Kluyveromyces lactis: one gene and its partners. The protein of the gene in region 2 interacts with the protein of the main gene of each other region in a biochemical or structural test. Links are inferred from orthologs where the notes say so. Each region holds a gene or a part of one and is shown on either strand. Other genes may lie near its edges. The genes, in order: PUF6, KLLA0_E14257g and SHE2.

Region 1 (4,065 bases), on a different chromosome or scaffold from region 2:
TATTTGAAGCAGGTGCAAATTCAGGCAGGAGAAACATTTTGAGTCTCCCTTCGGACAACACTAAGGCTCTATCAATTTTCGGCAGTAGCGTTATGCCATCAATTCCTGTTGGTCTGTCTTCATTGAAGTTGACTTCCGAGATCAGTGTGAAATTTCCAACATCTAATTCATAATAGTGTAGTAACGCTCCTGAAGTCGAGCCCAGGTAGATGTGCTGACCATAATATTCGATACATGAGTACTCATATTCATGAGGCACATTCTCGATTAATGGTGAAACAGCATATAATCCATCGGTTACTTCAAAGGCAGTTGAAATGGGTTTCTCTTTAGTATCGTCATTCATAAGCCATCAATGCCACTGCTGTAATTAGTGAATTGAGGAATAAATGTTCTTAGCTGTATTATCTCTGGTTCGCAGATGATAGTCTCATTTAAGGAAGTGTGAATCTTAATAGTAGACTAGAACGTCCTTCGTCCACAATGATGAGAAGCTATATCATCTTTAATATACATATTTTAGAGCCAAACTATATAACGACTTGACTATACATACTCAATGCTTCATTAGCTTTAGAAGTAGTTGAGCACCCTTGTTTGAATCGTTCGTCTCTATTTTCTTGATCACTTTTTTCAAATCATGATCGAATTGTTCCCCTTCTTCAGTCCCATGTAAGGCTTCATACAATGCCACAATGGTAAAAGAACTGTTGGGTTTGTTGATCCAATCGAGTAGGTTGCTGGAATCAATGATGTCTTCATAAAATTTTTCAGCAAATGGAATACCAAGTCCCTGAACTTTTTCTAGAGGTTCTAGTTTTCTTGCTTTCACGTTGTATCTACCATTTTGAATGAGAGACTTTAGCAACCTTGCCGAAAATGGTTTGTTAATAGGGTGGTCTTCTTCTGAAATGTCACCTTTGAAATAAATGGCGACGGTGTCCACAAGCTCGGCAAACAACTTTTGATCAGACTCTGAAAGTTGTTCATAGACATCATCGTTAACGAGTAAATCTGCGACAAATTGAGAACCGATGTTTTCATCTAGAATGGTTTTGTAGTGTTCGTTTACGCCAGATAAAATCATTGGTGCGAACCTTTTTAATAATTCAAGTCTTCTTTGGTCAAATGGCTTCTTGGAAGTAGTTTCCGACATCTTAATGTATCTTTGTAGTTCATTCTTCATATTTGGACCGAAGTATTTACCATCTAATCCTAAAAGTAGGAATAAGAGCGGCCTCCTACCAAATTTATCAACAATCAATTCTGGAAGATGTTCCTTAATTGGTGGGGAAAATGCCTTGGAGACGAGAACAGTATCATCGACTGTCATTAATAAAGTTATGAAAACAACGGCACCGTGTTCATTTTGAATTAACTTGATTGCATGTTCTTTCAAGGTCTTTATCAACCCCTTTCTTTCTTTGGCATTTGCTTTAGCGATTAAAGTAGATGCAACTTCTGCACCTTCTGGGGTATGCACTAATTCCGCAAAGTTCTCTTCTAAAAGTTCGATGAACTCAGATGTTTCTTTATCGTTGGCGATTTTGACGTATTCCCTCATTGCTGCGTGTAAAATCTGGAAACCTGCCGAACCTTTTTCAACAGAAGCAGTGATGGTACCAATCAAGTTTCTAGCGATAATATTTCTCTTTTCTACGCTGGAAGCACAAACTTCTTCGAGCGTAAGTTCCTTATGAGATTCTCTGAATACGGCGTATTCTGAACCCCAAAATTCTCTGATCATTTGATTTCTTTGTTCTTGAGAGGCATAAAGAACAAACAAATCTTCGACCACATAGGCACCTTCACGGTGTCTCATTAGTTTTCTCAAATTACCATGTAGTTGATCGATTATGATTTGTCTAGATTTTCGGGAACCATAATGTAACAATTTAACCAACAAATATTTACCATATGATGATGTGGCCAAAACATAAATTTTATCTTTCAATGCCAACGTGATCTGTTCTCTGCGCTCTTTGGAAGAATATTTGACTAATGTCTGGACAATTCTGGATGCATCATGCTTCAATACTAAATCTTCAATACAATCATTCGAGAGTTCCCAGATCTCATTACATAGCTTTTCACGGACAGGCTTTGGAATTGGAGGGTTCTTGACACGTAATCTTTCCCATAAAGACTTGATCTGCTGGACTGTTTCACCAGATTTACGCTGAAGTTTTCTCTCCTTTAATGTTTTTCTTTGTTCGGCATGCTGGCTGACACCATTACTTTCTTTTTTGTCTGCATCATTTCCGGTTCCAGCATCTTCTTCATCTTCAGCATCTTCTTGATCCTCATCAGATTCATCCAGTTGATCAGATTCGTTGTCTAGCTCGTCTGAATCTGAATTTGAGCTAGCATCATCTAATTCATCATCTAGCTCATCTTCTGAAGATAAACCGTGGAGGACATCATCAGAATCTTCATCGCCAGAATCAACACTAATGTTTTTAGCTCTTTTTACAATTTTACCAGAATCCTTCGACTCCTTAGATTCCAATTGACGCTTGTTCAACTTTTTCGACGTGGCTGCCATATCTGTAGTGCTGTATTGTCCTACGAGAGAGAATAAGAATGTATATGTTGTTATTTAATGCTACCCATAGTGCAGTTACTACTGTATAAGCTCATCTCATCTCATCGCTTCTTTTTCAAGTTCAGAAAATTTTCATAATATGCTAAAAAGAAAGAACTCAAATAAACATTCGCCAGAATCTCTCTTTTTTTGATGGGGGGAATATACAGTTGGTACAGGATTTGGCTGATTAAACCGAATATGGCAGTTTATTACATGCTTCAAAGATTTAGCTCTATTTCTCGAAAGCTCTCTCTTCCGAGTTAGTTAATTATGAAATGAGTAAATGTCACCCTTTCAAACTAACGAGATTTTTATTGTAAATCACAAACAAGTTGAGTTTTACACATGACAATGATAATATTACAGTAGTAATTGTGGACAACTTTAGCAGCTATAGTTGTTAATTCTAAAAGATTTTATGGTTATCTATATACTCAACTTCATATGAAGTTCATTGAAAAACCAAGACAGTAGCTTCGGGTATGAGAATAAGAGGGAATGACTGCATTTACATTAACTTTCAAGTAGTTCATCGGAGGGTTTATCCTTTTGATAAGCTTCCATGTCCTTTTCTCTAAATCTCCTTTGCATTTCGCTATTTTGTTGCTTTCTCTTCTTGGCTAGTTGTTTGGAAGCTTTGATGTTGAATCCATCACTTAAAATAGTTTGTACTTCCTCCAATTCTAGACCAGATAGTTCTGGATAACAGAGATAACAGAAGACGGTAGATACTGCAGCTAGTGCAGCAAATAATGAAAATGTACCAGTCGGTGTTATGTTTTGTAACATTGTTAGGAAGGTAGATGCAATAATTAGGGAACCAGCCCAGTTAGTAGCTGTACAATAAGAAGTACCTACACCTCTAACGGATGTTGCAAATAATTCAGATTGCTGCCATGGTACAGTACCGATACCTAGAGCATAGAATGCTGCATATACCATGATGAATACGATAACGACTATACCCCAAGAACTGAATCCACCATTGGAAACTTCCGATTCACCAGCGCCAGTGAATTTTATATCTAGGAAATGGAAGGCGATAGCACACATAACCAAGGAAACCATCATACCAGGCAAGCCAATCAAAAGGATTGCTCTACGACCGACCTTATCAATCGCAAAGAAAGCGACTAAAGTGAATACGAAGTTAGTACCGGCAACGATGATAGACACTGCAGTAGAATTTTCGAAACCAACAGTTTGAAAAATAGTACCAGAGAAATACATTAAAGAATTCCAACCACAGAATTGTTGAATACCTTGTAAAGCACAACCGATCACCAATGCCCTGAAATTGCATGGGACAGTATGTAATTCTTTGACAGTGTTGAAGAACTTGTGTACAGGGGTCTTACCTGGGATAGCCTCATTCAAATCTGATAGTTCACGGATTTTTTGATCGATAAGTTCCTGGGGAGCGTTAATGTAACTCTTTTGTAAAACTTCTGCAGCCTTCTTATAGTTACCTTTTATCA
Region 2 (2,420 bases):
TTAAATTGACGACCCTTTTGTCTCCTCCTTGTTAATCACATGCCAAACTCTGAAGGGATGAGTTTTTGACCGTTGCTTTACCAGAATACTAGATGAACTCAGAATAGTTAAGTCACGTAAAAAAAAATGGTGCTTGTGTTTACCAGCTGAAAGCATCTTGTCAATAACGGTATCTGGCAGAGCAGCGTCAGTTTTCTTTTTTTTTTTTTTTATCATCTGGCTTCAGAATCGTAAGAATGTCCCACTTTTCAATCTGCATTGTATGGAAGTCCCCAACAACGTTGAAATGTCTCTGTTCTCTCATCATCAACAATGACTAGAAAATAGAAGACCGACATGGCAGCCGGATACACACATGCGCCCTCATATCCGAATCTTTGAACAGCTGCTGACACCAAAATTGTGTTGAGGCTGAAACGCTGATTAACTCCAGTTGTTACAGTAACGGTAATCTAATGTTTTTAATATGTTTAGTCACATGATCGATGCTAAAAGGTTATCGATTCCTCCATTTACATACACACATATGCATATATAAATTGATGTATTAACTATGCAAAGCTGACAGATTTCTTCTTCTTGATAGGTTCAGACTGAGCTGCTAATGTCTCTTGTTTCAGTTCTTGCCTTTTGGTTTTCCTACGAATAGTTCTGGCAACGGATGCCTTCTTCTTGATTTCATCTTTCTTACCCTCTAGTTGTTCCTTCTTTTCGGTTTCTTTTCTTTCCATTTCTTGTCTCTTTAGATCACGAATTTCTTCGAGTCTCCTTGTCTTCTCTAATTTGCTCTCTGTTATTTCATCATTTTTATCACCTATCGTTTTGATTAATCTGTTTAACGCTATTAAATCATGATCACCGATGAACTTCTTCCCCTTTTTACCCTTTTTGATTTTTACACCAGGTACAATCGCTCTATTAAGTGTTGGAATATTTAATTCTTTCTCGGTATAGCGTCTTTCCTTCTTCTTCTGGCTACCATATAGACGTGCTTTGAAATTATCCTTCTTCACCTGTAACTTGGTTGGTTTCTTGGTATCAGATTTTTCAGTCATTTTAGGCACGTTTGCCATTTGATTTTTGGCAATAGAGTCCTCGAATACTTCTGATCTTACTTCCCTCGTTCCATTTTGTTTCTTGGATCTCTTAGCCGTTTTTGATTGTTTGGGAGCCATCTTTCAAGTTCGATGGATTGTTATGCGTCAAGGATTTTTCTTCTATAAGTCTGATTATTGTAAATTCAGACTTGTCTCGCGGTTTAACTAGTAGACAGCGTACCCAGAGGTATAAATTCAAGTCCAGTTGTGCTTTTGTAGTAGTTGTGATAGTGTTCTACCAAAGCGATGAGATGAGCTCAATTCATCATCGAAAAGTTTTATTTTTATTTCTTTTCGCTTGGTAACACTTTATTTCTTGAATTCCTGCATGTCAATGTGAAAAAATAGAATAAACAATTAAAATAAAATAGAATAAATTAAATTAGATAAAAAAATATAAAAAAATATAATAATGATAGAAAATGAATAAATGATCAGAAACAATAAGATGATACAGAGTACACAACTCACGACTAGTATAAGGTAATATAGGTACACTGTGCTGGAGTTTAAATGTCAGATATCCGAATGATATTAGTTTTTCTTTCAATTGTCTTTTTAAGTATAGTAATAATAATGATAATCCATATAGTTATGTTGTATATTAAACAAGACAGTAGTGAACAAAGTGATGTATATATATCACGTGCAAATAAAATATAATTTCAAATTAGTTTTAATTCTTCTTTTATTTTTCTAGAGAAAATATCTATTAATTTTCTCATAATAGAAATAAATAAATTTTTACTTTTTTTATAATTATCTATTTAATTTAAATAAAACTTAATTCAATTTATTTTAAAATATTGTATAGTTTTACTATTCCGAAAAATAAATATATTTTCTGTTTCAATAGGAAATTAATAATAAATATTAAAAAATTAAGCCGGGAAGAAGGTAGTGGAGATGTTATTGTATGGAGTTGTGAGAGAACTTCTAAGGTGTCATTTTTTTTTCAGAAGCAGTAAATATACTACTGGAGCCGCTATGAACTAGGATCTATACGATAGCATATTGTTATTGATCAACAAATCCCGAAAATATATAAATAGAGTTTTCTTCATCGAATTCTTCCATTCGAATTTGACGATATATCTATCATTGTTCTACATTTATATGTATGTTAGACGGCATATACCAAGAAGAATATCGAAGAAGAACCAAAGAACATCATAAATAGTTTACATAACACATGCGAAGCTCTTAATTAAATCCCCAGGTTATCGTCCAGAAAGTACAGAAAAACCCGATCAGGAGATCGAAATGTCCATCATCAACTTTTACATCACTATCCCTCTAGACCAAGTCCCTAATGTCACTACT
Region 3 (2,716 bases), on a different chromosome or scaffold from region 2:
TTAGTAAAAATATATTGGACAAGAGGTGTGTCGAATCTTTTAATGAGAGTATCGATGGTTTCATCCAAATCAGTATATCTCATGATAGGTAAGATGGGTCCAAAATTCTCACCGGTCATACTTGGATCATCCCAAGAAACGTCTGAGATTATGGTGGGTGGGATACATAACGGTGGGAGATTGTCTGAATGTTGAGCAACAGTTTTTTGACCCTTAGTGGTCTCAATGACGGTTTGAATCCTATTGTAGGCTCTTTCGTGAATCATGTGAGTATATTCAGTGTCAGAGGTGACAGAAGGGTAAAACTCATTCAATACTTTCTTGCAAGAATCAACAAACTCATCGTAGATCGAGTCAGGGCATAGGACATAATCTGCGGCGACACAAATCTGACCTGCGTTCCCCATAGAACTGTAATAAATTCTTCTTATTGCAGTCTCCCATTGTGATTTAGGCAAGTTGGGGGATATAAACACTGGAGACTTCCCACCAAGTTCTAATACACATGGTGTTAGACTCTTAGCAGCCTTCTCTGCTATGATTGTCCCAACGGTCGTAGATCCAGTGTAAAATATCTTATCGAATTTACCGGATTCGACTAAAGCACTTGTTTCTTCAGCGCCACCTTGCACCGTCTCCACTTGACCCTTTTCAAACGCCTCATTACATATCTCTTCCATTACTTCAGCACATGCTGGTGTCAATTCACTAGGTTTGAACACCACGGAATTACCACCGGCGATGGCTCCAGCTAATGGATCCAATGCCAATAATATGGGGAAATTAAACGGAGAAATGACAAGAACGGTCCCCAATGCGATCTTTTCCACGAAAGTCGTACCGAACCAATGTGCAAGTAAACTAACCTTAATCTTCTTTGGTTCGATCTCTTTCTTCATGTTTTTAATCAAATAAAGGATATTGTTGTACAAGGGGACTAATTCAATAGTAAGCGTTTCACTTCTTGCCCTATGGAAATCCTTACTTGCTGCTGCAATAAGACGTTCCTCATTATCCTTCACTGCCCAGTAAAGCTTCTGCAAACTCCTGATCCTCTCATTGATATCAGTAGCCCTAGGGGACTTGCTTTGGGCTAACCTGGCTTGTCGAGACCTGTAAAACTGCTTAGCAAGCTCAATCTTGCCAGGAATCGACTTCAAATCTGTAAATTTAAACTTGGACATGTTGCACTGGTTGTTTGTCTCAACTGATGTAACAACTACCAACTTCAAAGTAAACTAAACTCTTAACTGACATTTGTGTATTGTGTTTCGGTATTTAAAGGTTTACTTCTCCAATATTCTTAGGTTCTTTAAATATTAAGGCTTTTCGGTTTTAATGTTATCCGGTGAAGACCAGCGATGGGCATGAAGAAAAAGCATTTAAAAACCGTTTAAAGGGCCCACTAACTGCTCAATTGGTTTAGTTTGACAAGTTATCATGGCTTACTGTCAAGTGGTTATCTCGAAAGAGATTCTGGATGCTGTGTTACAATTGGTTTCCACATATTCAAATTATATATCAAGATATGTGGACTATTTGAACAACCTTATCGCAGTCCAGCGTCGTGTGAGCACGCTACGTTTCGAAAGGATGACATTGATCAAGTACGTTAAGAAACTACGGTTCATGGCTGATGTTTTACACAGCTGGTCGTTTGAAGGTGAGAATGATCTTATTGGAAAACGGTTAAACGAAGTGATCGATCCATTGGGAGCATATTTAATCAAAGTGTTTGAAATATTAGACCTGTTGAACTTCTACATTACACAGCCGATGAGAGGCGAAACGATCTCTAAGACTTTGAATGAGGATTTGGTCGTTAGTGAGGAGACCATTGTTTGTATCAATGACAGCTACAGGATATATATCAAGGGAATTCAATGGTTAGTAGAATCGATCAGTGAAAGGAATGGCAACTGTCCTCACCTGGCACTAGAGTTGATTGAATTCACTAGAAAATGTGCCATTGAAGATGAGGTGGATTTCACTGCTAGCGAAGATATCTTACTGCAAGACGTTGCCATTGTGGAAGTAGAGGAAGAATACGTTGACCTGTTGCATGATTGGTCTGCGATCCTGGTGCAGAAACAAACAGAAATGAAGGAGTTGTTCTCAGAGGACTCAAAGAGATGGGCTTCAATGACTAAACCGGTCAAGAAGTAGGTGAGGGTATCCTACACGTTCGCACATATTTGTATATATATATATATAGAATATAGAATATCAAATTAAAAAGTTACATACAGTTCGTCATACAGGTCTCATGTCATGATGGAATGTTCTTCTGCCAACTGGGATGGAGTCTTCTTCTTCTGCCTGCTTTTGATTTCTCGAATACTTGGAGCGTCTTTGTTCTTCAATGATAACGAATAATCGTCATATGAATCCATATACTTAGAGAAATAGAGGTAAAGTTGTGCTAAGGTCATACAGCAGGGCGATCCGTTGTTATATCTGTTGTTACCCACGCGTAAGTTTTCAATAACGCGTACAGCTTTCCTTCTGGTGATGTCAAGCGGGAGGTTAAACCTCGAAGGTTCACGAAGAATCGTTTCTATCCTTTGTATTATTACGTACCTCTTATGGAAGAACGTTCTTTCACCTGCACTGCTTCTCCAAGTAGATCCGAACCTTCTTTCAAGAGCCATCACGGATGGCTGACCCGGTAATCCCTCGTAGTACTCCCTTGCAAGGTCAGTTACAGTCTTGATGG

The links.
Region 1: the proteins of KLLA0_E14257g (region 2) and PUF6 form a complex in vitro, tested with the Saccharomyces cerevisiae proteins (3 studies listed by BioGRID). The link is inferred for Kluyveromyces lactis from reciprocal best matches to the Saccharomyces cerevisiae genes LOC1 and PUF6.
Region 3: the proteins of KLLA0_E14257g (region 2) and SHE2 form a complex in vitro, tested with the Saccharomyces cerevisiae proteins (2 studies listed by BioGRID). The link is inferred for Kluyveromyces lactis from reciprocal best matches to the Saccharomyces cerevisiae genes LOC1 and SHE2.

Annotation. Positions count from the first base shown.
Region 1 is NC_006039.1:1,047,593-1,051,657, reverse strand, and holds PUF6 (pumilio-family RNA binding domain-containing protein), read right to left. Parts: upstream 2,546-4,065; coding exon 557-2,545; downstream 1-556. Other genes in the region: CORVET complex subunit VPS3, read right to left, coding at 1-346; myo-inositol transporter ITR1, read right to left, coding at 3,101-4,065. UniProt on the Saccharomyces cerevisiae protein: RNA-binding protein involved in post-transcriptional regulation. Component of the ASH1 mRNP which transports the ASH1 mRNA to the distal tip of the bud, where the ASH1 protein is translated and targeted to the daughter cell nucleus.
Region 2 is NC_006041.1:1,262,068-1,264,487, forward strand, and holds KLLA0_E14257g (Loc1p), read right to left. Parts: upstream 1,176-2,420; coding exon 552-1,175; downstream 1-551. UniProt on the Saccharomyces cerevisiae protein: Required for efficient assembly and nuclear export of the 60S ribosomal subunit. Involved in asymmetric localization of ASH1 mRNA.
Region 3 is NC_006038.1:1,092,707-1,095,422, reverse strand, and holds SHE2 (She2p), read left to right. Parts: upstream 1-1,440; coding exon 1,441-2,166; downstream 2,167-2,716. Other genes in the region: HFD1 (hexadecenal dehydrogenase), read right to left, coding at 1-1,184; EUC1 (Euc1p), read right to left, coding at 2,265-2,716. UniProt on the Saccharomyces cerevisiae protein: RNA-binding protein that binds specific mRNAs including the ASH1 mRNA, coding for a repressor of the HO endonuclease. Part of the mRNA localization machinery that restricts accumulation of certain proteins to the bud and in the daughter cell.